Rhinolophus ferrumequinum: one gene and its partners. The protein of the gene in region 1 interacts with the protein of each later gene in a pairwise test. Links are inferred from orthologs where the notes say so. Each region holds a gene or a part of one and is shown in the gene's direction. Other genes may lie near its edges. The genes, in order: AGTRAP, HSCB and AP3M1.

Region 1 (6,905 bases):
CATTCCACTCCTAGATATTTACCCAAGTAGGTGTTCAATAACTATTCTCTGAATGAATGAATGAATGAATGAATGAACGAATCTATTCTGCATGTCAGATTCTTTGTTGAAGGTACAAAGATAAAACTTGGCCGAGACAGACAGGATTGGTCAGGGACATGAAAACTTTAAACTTGGGGCGGCAGGATGGCTCAGTTGGTTAGAGTGCGAGCTCTCAACAACAAGGTTGCCGGTTCAATTCCTCACATGGGATGGTGGGCTGCGCCCCCTGCAACTAAAGATTGAAAACGGCGACTGGACTTGGAGCTGAGCTGCACCCTCCACAACTAGACTGAAGAACAACGACTTGGAGCTGATGGGCCCTGAAGAAACATACTGTTCTCCAACATTCCCCAATAAAATTTATAAGAGAAAAATTTAAACTTGACTTACAAAAGTATGACCCCAAAGCCTTGTGGAATATGCTTTGTGGGGGTCCATTTGACCTTCCATAGTTACAACTGGGTCACGGCAGGAACTCTGACTCCTTTAAGAATAGTTTTACTTTCTTGTGTTCCCTCCCCACCCCAGCCAACTGGGTCTGTCCCCACTTCCCCAGCTGGTCAGGATGAATACAGCTCTCAACCACAAGGTTGCCGGTTCGACTCCTCGACTCCCACAAGGGATGGTGGGCTGTGCCCCCTGCAACTAACAACGGCAACTGGACCTGGAGCTGAGCTGCGCCCTCCACAACTAAGACTGAAAGGACAACAACTTGACTTGGAAAAAGACCTGGAAGTCCATGCTGTTCCCCAATAAAGTCCTGTTCCCCTTCCCCAATAAAATCTTTTTTAAAAAAATACCCACCACTTATTGAGGAATTACTCTTTTCTATGTACTCTACTGACAACAATAATTAACACTAATACACTAATAATTATTAATAAAAGTACAGCCAATCCTGACTAAGTGCTTACTGTCTGCCAGACACTGTCCTAAATGTTTTTCATGTATTAATAAATCCTAACAACGCTTTGGAGGAAGCCACTGTTATTATCCTCATTTTACAGATGAGAAAACTGAAGCACCGAGAGGCAAAGTGACTTACCCAAGTTCAACCAGTAAGTGGACAAAGCCAGGACTCAAACTCTGTTGCTCTGTTCTAGCGCAGTTCCCCTGTGCTTTAAATCCCCAAAAATCAAGCTAAATGAGCTGTACCCATTGGGCTGGTCTCTAAAGATCACCAGCTCTCAGTTACAATGGCAGATGCTATGCTGCTCTACCCCTGGGCTGGAGGGCTTTGTCTCTGAATGGGGCATTAAATTAGGTCAGTGGGTACTGCAGGTCCTGCAGTCTTTCCTTTGTGTTGGAGAGAGTATATGTCTTGATATGATCTCAGGACCCACCCAGGCAGTTTCGCAGGTTCCCACATGGTCTCTCCTGTCCTGGAGACACGAACAAGTTGTCAGACAGACCGTAGGGGACCCTCTAAATAAAGTTTTCTCTGGTCATGGGTGAAGGATGGGGTACAGGGGAGGATGGCGGTAGTGGGGATTTACATTCCTGTTGGGAGGTGGTCAACAGCCTTTGAGACGGCAGGTGAGACAGCTCTCTCTTTCCTCAATTTCTTCCATTCTTGGTTAAGAGGCAAACAGGTGTCTTGACAGACTCTTTCTTCACTGGTCTGCTTTTTTCTGGAAACAGGTGTGTCCTACAGGTTTTCTGCTGGTCTTCCAGATGGATTTTTCTACAGCTTTTAGTTTGTTCATTCAAGTGGCCCCTTGTGTGTTGATAACAACAATATTTTCTATGTACTGCTCATCGAGTAAGTGCCAGGCACTTTTCTAGGCACTTTCCTTTGACAAAAACTCTATCCTTGACCAAACTTTAGTTAGGCTCATGAGGCTTCTCCTCAAACTCGGCCTCAGCCTGGCCTCGGTGTGCAACCTGTTCTTGCTGGGCCTGCATAGCCCAGTTTTAGCAAGAATCCCCCTGCCCTGGATAACTGAACACCCTCCACATCTGATCAAGTTCCTCACCTGCCCTCCCTCACCTTTTGATGTCTACGTCCTTGGCCTGCCTTTAGCAAGAATCTTGTTAGGTTGGTTTAGCAAGAATCCCCCCAGCCTTTAGTGTCTCCTCTTAGTAATTTTCCATCTACTGAGCCCTCACTCTGCTGCTTCGCTATAAAACCCCACTTGTCCTTGCTGTTCATAGTTAAGCTTGATTTTTCTCCCCTCCTGCAACATCCCTATTGCAATAGTGTTGGGTGAAGTCTTCCCTACCATTTTAACAAATGTCAGAATAAATTTTTCTTTAACAAAATGGATTCGTTCATTTATCCTCACAAGGGTCCTCTGAGGTAGGTACCGTCAATGTCTCTAACACTGGAAGGTCGAGAGGAGAGAGGATTTCCTGAAGGATGAGATAGCAGCTGTTGCCACATCCTCACTTTGCACCTGGACATACCCCCAAGTTCTCCTGGCTGCAGGTGGTCCCGTCAGTCCACCTGCTGGGATATTAACCAGGCAAGATATTGCTCCCTTTGCGGCAAAAGTCCTGATGTTCTCCAGCCGCCCCCGGGAACTCCCTGAGCAACGTGTGGACGGAGCTGGGAGCCAGCGGGAAGCGGGTGCTGGCCGACGCCGTCCCCTGGCAAACGGGCAGTGGTCATGTGACCCGAGTCACGTGGCCGGGAGCTGAGCTGGGGTTAGAGCCCAGGCAGCAGGGCTGGCTGGTGCTGGCAAGTTTGCTTCCCGAGTTCCAAGACCCCGCGGCTGTCGCACAGGTGCCTTCCGCCTAGGTCGGGATGGAGCTGCCAGCCGTGAACCTGAAGGTGGCGACGGGCGGGGCGGGGGTGGCCACGCCGCAGGCGGGCGGGCGCGGGGCGGGTCTCCGGGAGTGTGGGGGCCGTTTGCGCTTTTAAAGTAGGATTTTGGAGGTGAGAAGGCCGGGAGTTTGGGAAAGAAAAGGCGTAAGGAGAAAGAAAAGATACAGACCCCTGGTGAGAAGGAGGCGGGCAGACAAACCAAGGCCGGGAGAGAGATCCAGGAAAAGGCCAGGAGGGAAAACCGAGGGAAAGGGCCGCCCCCTCCGGCAGTCGGATCCCTGCCACTGGGAGCACCCGGCCCTGGAGGATTGCTGTGGCCTACGCCACCAGAATTCCCCTGGGGAAAGAGGAAGGCGCGGGGGAGGGACTAAGACCCGGAGTGGGGCTTGGAGGCGGACACCTCCCCTCCACCTAGAGGGAGAGAGGGAGGGCGGAGGAGGGAGACGGAGAGAGGTGTTAGACCTTTCACCTGGCCTCCCATAACTTCAAGGTAGCCTCCTTTGTTTGCTAAATCCGGTTAAGAAAAGTAGATGTGCCCGGACTGGTGGTTTACAAAATGTATCAACCCTGCGTCCTTATTTCCCAAGAAACACGAACTCCAGTAGAAGTTGCTTAACGCCAGAAAACCACAACTTGGTGCACTTAGTAAAACACTGCAGGGCTTCCTGGGATGTCTTCATTTCCTGAGCGGCTCTCCTGAGCTCCTCAGGATGCCACTGGCGGAGGTTCATTTTCTCCCGCCACACCCCAGCCCGCTGTGCTTCTTGGCTGGGTTTGCGACAGAGGGGCTGTGGCCTTTTTAGCTTTGGTCAGGAGGGGGTGAACCTTCCGCCAAACCTGCCATTTTGGGTCTCGGTGCAGTCTCCTTTGAGACTGGATCCAGGAATGCCCTTTTACTCACTGGTGACAAAGCATTTAGCAGCCATGGTGTCCGGTACTAAAGGAACCCAAAAGATAGATGACTACAAAACAGCACATCATTCATATTTGGGTTATGAGACCTGCTCTGTGCTATGACTTCATACAGGCAGACTTCCAGTAATCACGCTCGCTGGGACCAACCTCCCTGAAGCTTCTAGTCAACAGCTGCGTGGAGAGATGTCTGGAGCAAGAGAATGGGCTTGGGTTGAAGGTTTATCTGGGAAGAAATTGCCATGAGGGAAACATCCATACTCACTCTGTTCCAGGCAGTGTGGGGTTAATGCCAACTGCCTTTTCTCTAGCGATTTGCCTAAAACAATGCTAAGAGAAAATCAGGTGAAGGACAAAGCTGCAGGAGTTGAGAAGGAAGAAAACTCTCATTCCTGGGGCATCTGTGGTGTGCCAGGTTATTTGTTTAATCACAACAGCCTTCCGGGAAAGCTGATATTGTCATCTTTTACGGATGAGCAAACCTTGGCTCAGATCAGATAAATAATTTGCCAAAGTCCCACAGGGATTAAGTGGCAGAGTCAGGATTTGAACCCACCAGGGTCAGACTTCAAAGCCAGCCTGAGACCTTGCCTGGTCACCAGTTAGGGCTGACTTCTGCCTTGATAGTTTATGTCCATCAGGGGGACTTAAGTCTGTTTGGGGCTTTTTTGCAGCAACTTATTGGCCTGACAGACCAAGCACTACCATGGGTGTGAGCTGTGCTGGCTTTCGGTGCCCAGAATGAAACTCTGGTCCTTCCCTTGATTTGGGAAAAAAGACCCTCTGTCTCTATATAGGTCTTCCGCTGTTACTAGTCAGAGACAAGTAAGTGTCAGGAGGCCCTGAGGGACCAGGGTTGCCAGGTAACATATAGGATATCCAGTTGAATTTGAATTTCAGATCAGCAATGAATAATTTTTTATCATACGTATATTCCAGGCAATATTTGGGACATACTAACAAATTATGCATTATCTGAAATTTGAAATGAAGTGTGCCGTATTGTTAAATCTGGCCTTCCTATGGAGGGTAGCTGTTGACCCCGGGTTCACAGGCACTTTCGTGGGTTGTTCCGAGATCAGGGCCCCGAGGGGGCTGGGGAAATGCAGCCCGTGGGCCTGCCCTCCCTCCCCACTCCCTTATTTCATACATTCTTTGGGAATTGGCCGAATGCCAGCTTGTGCCCAGCCAGAGTGGGCAGTGGTACCCGGTTAAAAGAAATAGCTGCTCTAGGCCCTTTGCACAAAAGGTAGTCCCTAGCTGAGCCCCATCCCTGAGGCAAGTCTTGAGCCAGAGGGATGACACTGTGACAAGCTTAGAAAGGACTAGACTTGGGTTCATGACGTCTTGTGGAAAGAGGCCCTTGTGGGAAGAGGGTGGGGGTGGGGCGGGTAGTGGAGCATTTGGGTTGAGAACTCAGGAAGCTGACTTCCTATGGTAAGGAGGACAGCTTCGTATCAAGGGCTGCTTACCTGGCAGGCACTGTGTTGAGTATTCACATACCTCTCCACTTCCCTGTACCACTAGATCCGCACAACCCTACGAAACAGGCATATTGTCCCTACTTTACGGAAGAGCAAGCTGCAGTTCTGAGAAGTCAAGTAACTTGCACAAGGTCACACAGCTTCTGCAGCATGGAGCCAGGATCAGCTATCTGGCTGCAGCGCTCATGCAGTTAACCACTGCCTGACTCCGCCTCCCCTCTAGGGCAGCCCTGATTTGTGTCCCTCAGCCCTAGCCACCCTCTGGGATCTCACCACCTCAGATAACAAGTCATGGAGTGTTTGCACGGGACTGGTAGGACTATATTTCATATGTCGACCTGTGTGTTGATCTGAGAGGTCAGCGCACCACCTGTGGGGAAATCCCCCCCCACCCCCACTCTCGCATCCCTCATGGGCTTCTGGTGGCAAAGTAGTCTAAGTCCACAGGACCCCTTGGTTTCCCCTTAGCCTTCCCTTCTCCAGGTTAAACGCCATTTCCATCCGCTTTTCCAAACCCTGACAGTATAACATGGATAGAGCACAGGCCTTGGGGCCAGACATTCAAGGCTGGGCTTTGCTACTTATTCACCGTGACTTTGAGCAGGTTTCTTAACCTGTCAGTATCAGTGTCCTCACTGTAAAAGAGGACAAAAATAAACCCTATCTTCTAGGGTGATAAGAGGAGGAGCTAGTGGTCCAGGAGGTGGTGTAGCTTTACATTTTTACTGGCATAAAACCTCAGACCAGATAGACCATCTGAGATCTGCACCTGGCCTCTCTTATTTGTCGGTGTTACAGTGTGGGCCAGTTTACCCTCTCACAGCCTCCGTTTCTTCATAAGTAAAGCGAGATTAAGACTCTCCCCCGTATACCGGTGGGTGCAAGGATGACAGGGGTCAAGTGTTCAAGGCAGTGTAGACACTGGCAGGCAGGGCTTCATCAGCAGCAGGAGTTGCTTTTGCTGTTCACGGTTATAGGATACCTGTCCTACATAGGTACTCATGGTTATGAAGCAGACACAGACATTGACTGTCCAGATGCCTGTGTCTCTGCAGTTGAGGCACCCCTAGGGGACATACAGGTGATAGGTATTGCCTCCATTTCACAGAGAAGGAACATAGGGCTCAGACACAGAGGGACATGGCTCCTAGACCACAACCAGGTCTCCTATGTCTAACCCAGCATCCTGCTACCCTGTGTTGCCTTGACTCACAAGCCCTCTCCTCCCTCGGTCTTCTGACACATTGGTCACCATCTGGAAGAGAGCCCAGCAGCCCCCCTGGACCATGCATTATATGAAGAGTCTAGTTCAGGTCTTTCTTTCCTCTTGTCCATCCAGGAAAGTGCTTGGGCCACCAGACACATTCTCAGGTCCCGCCCCCCTCCCTCCCCGCTTCTCTGTGGCGGTACCTGAGAAGCCCAGGTCTCCCATTGATTACTGGAAGTCTCCCCCAGAGCCAGCAGACAAGACGGTCCCTTTGTGCCGAGATGAGTCACTGTTCCCTCTTCCAGGACTCTGGGGAAGGGCAGTTCCTGTGGCCCAGTTTCTTGTTGGAGCTTTCCTGGACATTAGACATTTTTAGGCCTGGGTGGGTGTGTCCTCCCATTACAAAGATGGGGAACCTGAGGCAGAGGAGGCTGTCTTCAGTGGGTTTCTTTTCCCAGTGGCTTAAGAGAAGTGATCAGATAGTGCTAAGTTT
Region 2 (3,600 bases), on another chromosome or scaffold:
ACCTCAGCCAGGCTGAGTGTGTCCTTCTGCAGTTTTTTTTGAGCAAGACTTCTCCGCCCTGAAAACTGGCAAAAGACAGTGTGTCAAGAGGTAACTATCATCGCTTATGATAAATAAGGGTCTACCAGGCTGGGATCACACTGGCCTCAGTGTAGAGAAAGTACAGTGGAGTGGTTAGAGGCAAATAGGTCTGGAGTCAGATGCCTAAAAAATCTTTGCATGACCTTTAGGTAAATCAACCTCTTGAAACCTTATCTGAATAAAGTAGATAGATCTTTCCGATTAAACGAGATGATACATGAACTCTCCTCCTCGACTATCCTTGATAATTGGGACAACAGAATTCCAATCCCCAAGAATCCAACAGCCGGAAAGACCTTACAAGTGCAACACAATCTTTTATTTTCTAATAGAGAAACCGAATCCCAAGGAGGACTGGTACCCCTACCCTCTCCTAGCCATCCCATTCCACACACTTACTTATGGACACTTGCATAGCATCCTCCTACACAAGTAAGTATATTTCCAATTCCTGCAGTGCCTATCCGCTAAAAATGGGTTCTCAATACGTTATTTTCAAGATTGAATCTAAAGTATGGCAATAATTACTGACATTTCTAGAACTCTTCACAAAGCAACTTTGCTCTCATTTTGAAGAGCACAACTTTGTTCCTTCTTATCCTGTATGTCTGGGCCAGTTACAGCTTGTAAGTGAGGAAGTAACTGGAAGTTCATCTACGAAGGAAGAGAGTCGTCCACGCATTCCTCTCACCCCACCCCACCCCCGCCGAAGCTCAAACAGAGCTCAAAGCGGAAGCTCGAGAGATTTAGTTCGCCTTAATTCCCTGAGAGCGGGATTCGAACTCCCACACACCAGACAGAAGATCCCCACTATAACTCACCTCGTGCGCCCACCTGGAGCCACAGACTCACAGCTACCACCACTAGCGAACTGGCGCTAAACAGATACAAAGTCCACCCTCAGCCAATCAAAACATTCCTCCGCTTCTGCCGGACCAATGAGGAGCAGCGGATGTAGCCGTCCACGATAGCCTCACTGCTTGATGGGAGTTGTAGTTTAAAATTCAGAGCGGGACTCAGAATCCAGGTTTCCCTCGGGTGATCCCGCCCCCTCAGTCCTCCAGCCAATCAGCAACACTAGTCTGGTGGGCCATTTGTCCCCTTATCCCCCTACAGGTGACCGCGGCGAAACTAGGCCGCGAGCCAAATGTGGAGCGGGAGAACCCGAGCGTTGCTCCGGGTGTGGGGGTTGTGGCCGACTGGGGTCCTCGGAAGGAGACCAATAAGCTGTAATGCTGCGTCACTAGCGGGAAGCAACTGCCCCCAGTGTTGGAACTGCGGCGGCCCAAGGGGCCCCATTGGTGGGGACGGGTTCTTCTGCCCGCAGTGCCGTGCGCTGCAGCCGCCTGACTCCACTCGGGACCACTTCAGCCTTATGGACTGGTACGGAAACGGCTTCGGGAAACGCCCCGGAGCGAGAGAGAAGTCAGGGATAGAGGTGCGAGAGGGAAGGGCCGATCAGGTTTGGGAAGCAGAAGGAGGGGCCAGTTAGATAGGTGGGCGGAGCCTTGGAGACCAGTGTCTAGGTGGGTGTCGGGCCTGGGAGAATGGAGGATGGTCCTGAGAAAGAGGAAATTGTGGGGCGGGCCTGAAGGAACGGCTTTGAGGGATGGAGACAGGGTGGAGGGAGGACTGGAGGGGTGGGAAATGAAGTTAGAGGAAATTGAGGGACGGAGACTACTAAGGTAGAGGGAAACTTGAGGGGCGGGCCCTGAGAGAAGGCGAAGTTGAGAGGTGGGGTCTGAAGGAAGGGTCCTTGAAGGGCCCTTGGAGAAGGGAAACTTGAGGGTTAGGATCAGAACCATAAAAGTTGGGTTGAGACTTTTAAGAAAGGAGTACTGACGTGTTATCCAAAATAAGGGAGTAAAAGCATGGAAAAACTTAATACTGTGGACAGAGCCTAAGGGAAAAGTGAGAATTGGAGGGAGAAGATCTGAGGAATAGGTGTTTTTCTTGTTTTTCTCTCAAGGTTGAGGAGCTTCGGGGAAGTGGTAAAGTTTGGGCGGAGCTAAACTTGTAAAATGGGGCAGGCTCTGGGAATAGAAAGCAAAAGGGATTAGGTTAAAATAAAGTGGGAGGCGGAGATGAAGGAACCCAGGCCTCGGAAAGATAGGGAGGGATTGGGAATCCCCCTTCCCCTTAACTCTGAGATCTGACCCCACCAATCACTGTGCACTTACGAAGGGCTGCAGTAACACTACCCTTTTAAGTTCCTCAAGGGTGGGAAACTCGTTCCCACCTCAGGACCTTAGCACATTTCCTCTGACATTTGATTACTCTTCATCATCATTCATCTTGCAGCTCAAATGCCATCTCTTTGTCCACCACATTTACCACTCTCGCAGACCCCTTTCCGTTTTTCTTCACAGCACCTACCATTTTTGGAAATTATCTGTCTGCATGTTTATTGTATATTTCCCCATGGGAACAGGAACAAGACCCATAGTATACAAATCTATAAATACTTGATGCATGAATGTTATCTCCCTATTTTCTTCCAGCAACCGTTCCTTCAGAGTTGACACTGTGAAGCTCCAGCATAGGTACCAGCAATTACAGCGTCTTGTGCACCCGGATTTCTTCAGCCAGAGGTCTCAGGTAGCCTATTGGCCACCCCTAATCATACCCACACACATATGCATTCTGGGTGGGTGGCGGTGGTCTTGCGGTTGTGTGATTATCAGGGATAGCCAGCTCTATCCTGTGGCAACCAGACGCCAGCCAGGCAGGCCCTGGACCTGTCCTGCAAAATTAGAATCCATCAGTTGAAAATAAATAAATCTTATCCCACACTGGTTCTATTTTGGCCACTTCCTTAAGTGCCTGCCCATCAGTATTTTATGAAACAGCTTGTGAATATCAGATGGCTGATTTGGATGGTAATAAGACTATCTCCATATCCACTAACAGATTGAAAAGGATTTCTCAGAGAAGCATTCAACCCTGGTGAATGACGCCTATAAGACCCTTCTGGCCCCCCTGACCAGGGGAGTATACCTTGTAAGGTGATTTCCCAACCCTTCTGTGCATGACTGCCTGCTGTCCACTATGGTACAGCTGCTGCCCTGTATTCAGCAGAGGAGTGCTTGAGACCTGATCTAGTCCAGGGACCCAACTACATTTAGCCTCAAAGATACTACATGATGGGGGTGGTTGGTTAGCTCAGTTGGTTAGAGTGTGATGCTGATAACACCAAGGTTGCCGGTTCGATCCCCACATGGGCCACTTTGAGCTGCGCCCTCCTTAAAAAAAAAAAAAAGGGGGTGCTACATGAGTATAGTTTTCTCTGAATATCCTCTGTAAATGTTACTTGCCCAATTGCATTTTTTAAAAACCATTTTTCGATAAATTCAAGGATTGGATGGTGATGACTTTTAGGAAAGAGTAGTTTTGGACATTTTTTTTTTTTTTGGAGGGTGAGGTGAACACCTTAGAATTTTAGGATTTAATAGAATCTTCCCAAATATCTACTTCAAGCTCTCAAGTGGAGAAATGACTCCCCATGGGTCACACAGTTCT
Region 3 (6,905 bases), on another chromosome or scaffold:
TGCTCAACAAGCTTTGGAAGGAACTGCATCCTCTCAGAGGTGACCGCTAAAGAAATAAACTTGGATGACATTTCCAAAGGAGAGAAAACTAAGACGTCCTAAATATAGGTAAGCATCGTGGAGCACCTTCACCTAGAAAGCAGTTCCCAAAAATTCTTCTAGACTTTTTTCAGCCCTAAATACCTCACCTGTAACACAGGGATCGTTACGCCTACCTCACAAGTTGCTGGGAAGATTAAATGATATAGCATACATACAGCACCAAGTATAATGTCTCAATTAATGTTCCCGTCTGATCCCCAACTCAATGTGAAAACATGTTAGCGTCTGCTTATTTATTGCAACTTTAGTAACTGCTACCCTGAAAAGCAATCCAGGTTAGAAAAACTATGCCCATTTGAGAAAGGGAGGCTAGACTTGTCAGATGCTCCCCCTAGAGCAGAGTTTTTTCAATCTCAACACTATTATTGTCAATTTTGGCTGAATAAGTCTTTGTTGTAGGGGGCTTCCTGTGCATTGCAGGTTGTTTAGCAGCATCCTTGAACTCTACCCACGGGGTGCCAATAGCACGCTCCAAAAAAATGACTCCAGACATTTGCAAAATGTCCTCTGGTTGAGAACCAGTAGCAGTCCCCAACAAAAATGTCTCCAGACACTTCCAAAATTTCCCGTGGTTGAGCACTGCTACTCCAGAATTCTGAAATTGTCACAAAAGTCTAAATCCTTTCCCTGGCATCTACAAATATCTCATAAACTTATGTGTTCCCTCACTGACTGATCTACACATTAACTTAGGCTTAGACTTTGTAAGTCATTCTCCCTAAAAGTTAACCAAAACTGATAGCTAGCCTCTGAATTGTCAAGCAAGTCATCATAAATAACGCATGCAGTCTGACCACTCAGTGTATAATCCCACTCAACCCTTAAAGCCAAACTAATATAATGAAAGTAGAAACAGCCAATCCTGAAACATCTTCACACAAAATTAAGAGATTTGTCCCAGCCCTCAAGTGTCTAAATCTTTTAACTTTAAATCTACAGGTGGCATTAAGTAGATAGTGTATAAAATGAGTTTCAGTGGCCTAAAGACTTTTACAAGTGTTAAATACATTAATGATATACAAAATATATTATATATATTTAAGAATTATTTTGTATCATATGCCCACATATTGCAACAACATAAAAAGTTACGTACACTAACAACAACAACAACAAAAAACACCCAGAAGCAAAAGTAGTGGAGAAACAAACAAAAACTGAGTTAACAATTCACTAGTATTTTGGAATAAATTGCTTGAAGTTAATTAAGTATAGCATGGTAATTAAGAGTACAGACTTGGAATCAAACTACCTGGATTAAAATCCCAACCCTACTAGATAAGTGACCTTGATAAATTACTTAATCTCTCTATGCCTGTTTCCTCCTTGGTAAAATAGAGATAATTACAGTACCCACATTGTAAGGTTGTTGTGGAATTGAATGACTTAAAATAGGTTCAGTGCTGATATAGTGTCTAGCAAATACATACTTAAGTATTAAACATTATTTATCATTCGTTGTAAGGATGCATAGGCAGAAAGTATACCTTTGGTGGTTATATAAAAGTAGACACAGTAGAGTCCAACAACAATGAACTTGCACCCAAATGCTCTGGGTTCAAACAGTTAACTAAATATTTCATTTGAGCTTCAATTTCTTCATCTGTAAAATAGGAAAGCACTTTGAAAATGGATTAACATAGGAAAATCTAAGGGCAGTTTGTTTAGTAGGATAGTAGGGAAAAGTTGCATCTGTCTGCCAATTTACTAGAGGAAACTTTGTGAAAAGAGGTGACTTTTAAGGAAACACTCTAATAATGGGTCAATAGGGAAAGCACTCGAACCCAGATAGGTCTAATTCAAAAGCCCCTTTTACTCTATAGTTTGTAAACTTAAAATAAAAATAGAACATCCTGAGTTGTTACAAAATAAAGTTTATTTTCTTCGTATGAGGTAGGCACATTAACCCTTTGACGGTAGTAGAAATACATTAAAGGCACTGGCAGGGATTTGGTCACCATCCATTCAAAACAGCATGAACACACCACCAAACCCCTAAGAGACCCTTTCTTTTCAATTATGAATGATTCATTCTTTCGGAGGTAAAGAGGGGTGATGCTGGAAGAAATGAGATTTCTCTTGTATAATCAGGCGTGTCCCAATAGTTTTAAATCAATTCGATATGTCCCTTTTTAATTAGAAAAATCATTGCTTTCCAACGATTATTGCAAAAGCAAGGACTGTGCACACTGCACTTTATACTTATTAGGAAGGTATATTTAACAAACAGCTTTTGATAAGTGAAAGTTGCGACATCAATCACATGTGAGGCAGGTGTCGGACGCAGAACTCTCCCCATTGCTGCCAAAAAGTACAAAGAAAAAAAGAAAAATCAGCCTTTCCTAACCATTCAGCCAAAGGCCGCCCCCACAAAGCCTCAGAGGCGGGGACTGAGTCCCTGGCAGATGATCTTCACAGGTGCCAGCAATCAGTCTCTATGAAAAGGAAGGTCAAGTCGTCCTTCCGCGACATTTACGAAAAAATCCCCAAGAATTATGTCTTTGCCCCAGGGCAGAGCAGTCGCTGGGTCTCCTCCTCGTCACCCCACAGGGAAGAGGAGATGGCCGCGTTTGACCGTGCGCTGGTCCTGCCCGGTTCTCCCGGGTCTCTCACCAGCCCAGCCTGAGAGGGCTCCCACGTGGCGCCTGCATTTAGCTCTCATCCGGCTCCGCAACCCCGACCGGCGCTCTGATTGGTCACCGGCGGCGGGAGCCGCTCCGGAGCACGAGGCGACTCAGCCAAACTGGGCGGGCACCTGACAAGAGATCGCAGCCCTGCGGGCAGCTCCCGGAGCAGCGGTTTCTGCACTTTGGCCCCATGCCGGCAGCGAGGACGCCACCCAGCGCCAGGGCCGCACAACTACACGTGGGCCCGGGTCGCGGCAGGTGCCGTCACCCTCTACCCTTCCTAGGGTAGCGCTCACCTCAGCGCTCGCGGAGCTTCCACCTTCAGCTTTTTGGGTTTCGGCTCCTGCTCAGCCGCGGCCATCTTTACGCTCCCAACCCACTTAGGCACCGGCGTGCGCCCCTTCGACTCTCTGGCCCCGCCCCCTCTCGTATCACCGCCTTCTTTTTACTAACCCCGCCCTCCCGACTCCTCCCAGTCTATGCCTCTCCCACCCACAGTCATTGGTTCTACCTCTCGGCTCCACCCATTAGCTAATATACAAACCCTTCATGGCCCCGCCCACCCAACTATAGGGGGACCCCAGACTGAGTTAGGCTGCGGATGAGCGCCTGAATCCAGATGGTGTGAGATTGCCCCCCATTCTTCTAGATTCTGGGTGATCTAAAAGATTTATATCCTAAACCGCAAGAGACATGTTTCTTCTCATTCAATGTCTTCCCGCTTATTTAATATTTCCAAATCGGTAGACCTAGTTGGTTTCTTTGAAGCTGTTAGTCAGGCAATCTACTGGGCACTCCAACTGCGGGGTCCTCACGGTCTTCTCAGCTGCCTCAGCCTCGGTCCGGAGAGGACCCGGCGCCGAATCACTGACAGGCCCAGGTGTCGGGGTGAGTGTGAGGGGCGGGGAGTCTGAGGTCAGGGGACAGTTCGGAACCTGGGGAGTAAGCTGAATAGCTGGGGTTCCGGACTCCAGCTTGGACTGCGGACCGGAGCGTCTCCGGTGCTGTGGGCCGGGACCGCGCCTCGCTCCCGGCCTTCCGGGCTTTCTTGCCAGCAGGGCCGGAAGGGAGCGGTGCACCTGCAGCTCAGTGTTTTCAGGCCCCAAACCAGAGATTCAGGCTCATTGGGGTTCTCCGGCGCGAGAAAAAGGTCTTGTCACCCATAGTGAGCTGGAGTGCCAACGATTCGGACGTCAGCCCCAGGCTTCTGCTTTGGAGAACAAAACCTCTGACCGAGCCGAGCGGACCTCTTGTCTGGGGTGGGGAATACAGTGAGGAGGGGATTGCACTTCTTCAGGAGAGAGTGAATATGGAAAAGTGATGAGCGATGTGGCTGGTTGGATTTGGTAGATTTGGATTGAACCTGAAGCCTATACTTTAAGTAGGTGGTGCCACTATAGAATTAGGAGCCGTCGGATGAGGAGAAGGAATTTTGTGGAACTTAGGGATATATCGAGGTTGAAACAGTGATTTAGATGGAAATGGTAGAAAGATTAAAAGAAAAAAAGTGTGGGAAGTAATCCGGAAAGAAACTTACAAGGTGAGAACCCAAACAGGTGAAGTTTCATATAAGAGGATAAGAAGTACTTGGTTTGTTTGGAGGAACGTTACCATGAAATGTACAAGGGTCAAAGGAGTAAATTGAAGTCTGAGAGTAGGTTGTTGGATTTGTTGATTAGGAAGTTAGCCATTTGAGAGAGCGACTTGAATAGAGTCAGTTACTGAGAGGAGAGACTGCAAGTGAACTCATTTGGAGTATGAAGCAAAAGATTATTGAGCATGACAAGATCCCTAAAAGGTTTGAGGTTTGTTTGTTTTTAAAGAATACAAAATACATTAAGTTTTGGTGCAGAAAGCAAGTAACCCATGTCTAAGATTAAAGATTCAAAAAGAGGAGATAAAGACCTTGGAAAAGACGAAAGGAAATGGGATCAAAATTACAAATGGAAGAATTAGCTCTGGAAACAAAGGAGGACACTTTCCATTGAAAACATAGGAAAAGTGGAGGAATGAGGTAAATGAAGAATTACCTGACATATCTTTAGTAGGAAAGCTCTTTTTGAAATAAGGTTAGCTTTTCTTACTGAATCTTAGGATTTTTACAATGTTTCTAAATAGTCAACATAATATATTATTGGAGTTCCCTGCTGATTAGATATTTTTAAGAATATTTAAGAAGCTCAATAATATCTCTATTCATGGGTAGCAAATGGTATTTGTAGTCTCTCTCCCTCTACAAATGACCTCTCTTATTACACACAGAAAATAAAAGCCATCATCTTCCTGCAACCAAATATACAAATCTTGCCGTTTGGTCAAATCCTTTCACCTAGTCTCCCAATACCATTCTCTCCTACTGTCTCCGGGTCTTCTTTTTTTCAGTTATTCTCCTACATCATCAGTCTTTCCCCTCTACTCACACCTTTCATTCAGCATGTAAAAATCATCTTCCTTAATTTTATGAACCACTCCTATTTATTTTCTTGTCTTTTCATCCCCTTCACAGCTAGAGCTCTTGAATGTATCAACTACTCGCCTTATCTATTTTCTTCCCACTTCATGCTATTTATTTATCAGCGCACTGTAGCATATCTAGTTTCCAGCTAAACGACCACTGAAACTACTTTTATAAAGATCACCAGTGTCCTGTGTTAAATCATATATCTCAGTGGGGACAAAAATTGCCTCTTGTGAAACAAACGAAAAAATCATACTCTTTTTATGTATAAAGCAAAGATATGTTTACAGTACATAAAGAGATATACAGATATACTGTAGTACTAAAATTTTTATGGGAGGGGTATGATTGAAGGGAAATCTGAAAAAGCAGGTAATAATGAAAAGAAAGTTGAGAAACACTATTAAATCAACAGTCATTTTCAGTTCTTGTAGCTTGAATTCTTTGTGCCATTTAAAATGTTTAATACTCCATTCTTTTGGAAACACACTAACACACTCTAGTCACTAAAAAACATTATCCTCCCCACCCCCTTTTTTTTATTCCCTCTTCAGCCATATCTTAGTCTTCTTTTTTAGGCCTACTTGCTTGACCCAACTGCTACTCAAATGTTGGAGTTCCTTCCACAGTTTCTCTTCTACTATGCACATTCTCTCTCTGTAATTTTATTCTCCTTATAGTTACAATTCCCATTAGTAAAAAATCATGATTACTCACAAATCGATCTCAAACTTGGCTTCTCTCTAAAGCACCAGACCTATATATACAAAAGTCTTTTGAATATATCCATTTGAGTCAAATATATCCAGATTTGGATCAGATTATACAGGATTAGGGCTAAATGCCTCATTTTCCCCTCTCATCTCCACCCCGCCCCCTCCCTAATCTTTGCTCAAACCTGAATGTTTCTCTTTTCATTTTCCTCCATCCTTACTGTCAACACTCTAGTTCAGGCCACCACCATAACACATCTCTCAACTGGTCTCACGATACTCAGTTGCCCCATTATGCAGTTCCCGCAGTACAATCTTAAAACTGTAAATTGGATTGCATGAATCTCCTCCATAAAACCATAGAAAATGATTTTACATTGCCCAGAGAATAAAGTGAACTAATCTCTGCTTATCTTCTTCTCCAGTCTCATCTCACAACTTCCCTCCGCCTCCTAAAATTGATGAATTTGTACTGGATTTGTCTTGTGTTTTCTCTCACATCAAAGCCTGTGAATTTCTATAGCACACTGTATCTCCCCTATCATAATAGGAATTACATTTTACTGTATTAAGTTGTTTGCCTTCTTCGTTGAACTCTAAACGTGAGTTCAGGGACTCTAATTTGTTCACCTTTGTATCCCCATTGCTTAATATATAAAACATATTCAAAACTACTTGTTGAATGAATAAATGGTGAAAATATTGGCTGAGAATCAGGGAAGCTACATTATTTTCTGGTCTTATTCTCTGGCCTTGGATATGCCTATCTCACCTTCCATGCCTTTATTCTGTTATATATATAGAAGAAACACATTTTCTTTTTTAGACACTATCTTCCAAGGATATTTTGACTATTGTAATTGCACTGATTATGAATCATCAGAATGAGTGTGTTCAACATTTGGTAAAGGGAATTTATGACATATTTAAGCTGCAGTCAGAAGTCGGGTGGAACAGCCTCTGAGCACAGTTTCTCAAGTGGCTTTAAAATAAATTGGGAGAATT

The links.
Region 2: the proteins of AGTRAP (region 1) and HSCB interact in binary tests that used the Homo sapiens proteins (3 or more experiments, as listed by UniProt). The two-hybrid records come from large-scale screens. The link is inferred for Rhinolophus ferrumequinum from reciprocal best matches to the Homo sapiens genes AGTRAP and HSCB.
Region 3: the proteins of AGTRAP (region 1) and AP3M1 interact in binary tests that used the Homo sapiens proteins (3 or more experiments, as listed by UniProt). The two-hybrid records come from large-scale screens. The link is inferred for Rhinolophus ferrumequinum from reciprocal best matches to the Homo sapiens genes AGTRAP and AP3M1.

What each region holds. Positions count from the first base shown.
Region 1 is NC_046292.1:7,936,540-7,943,444, forward strand, and holds the start of AGTRAP (type-1 angiotensin II receptor-associated protein), read left to right. Parts: upstream 1-2,659; 5' UTR 2,660-2,788; coding exon 2,789-2,815; intron 2,816-6,905. UniProt on the Homo sapiens protein: Appears to be a negative regulator of type-1 angiotensin II receptor-mediated signaling by regulating receptor internalization as well as mechanism of receptor desensitization such as phosphorylation.
Region 2 is NC_046308.1:18,320,816-18,324,415, forward strand, and holds the start of HSCB (iron-sulfur cluster co-chaperone protein HscB), read left to right. Parts: upstream 1-1,174; 5' UTR 1,175-1,228; coding exon 1,229-1,464; intron 1,465-2,582; coding exon 2,583-2,679; intron 2,680-2,991; coding exon 2,992-3,081; coding exon of another isoform or gene 3,082-3,086; intron 3,087-3,600.
Region 3 is NC_046299.1:51,445,446-51,452,350, reverse strand, and holds the start of AP3M1 (AP-3 complex subunit mu-1), read left to right. Parts: upstream 1-3,357; 5' UTR 3,358-3,617; intron 3,618-4,552; exon of another isoform or gene 4,553-4,743; intron 4,744-6,905. Other genes in the region: ADK (adenosine kinase), read right to left, coding at 3,026-3,090. UniProt on the Homo sapiens protein: Part of the AP-3 complex, an adaptor-related complex which is not clathrin-associated. The complex is associated with the Golgi region as well as more peripheral structures.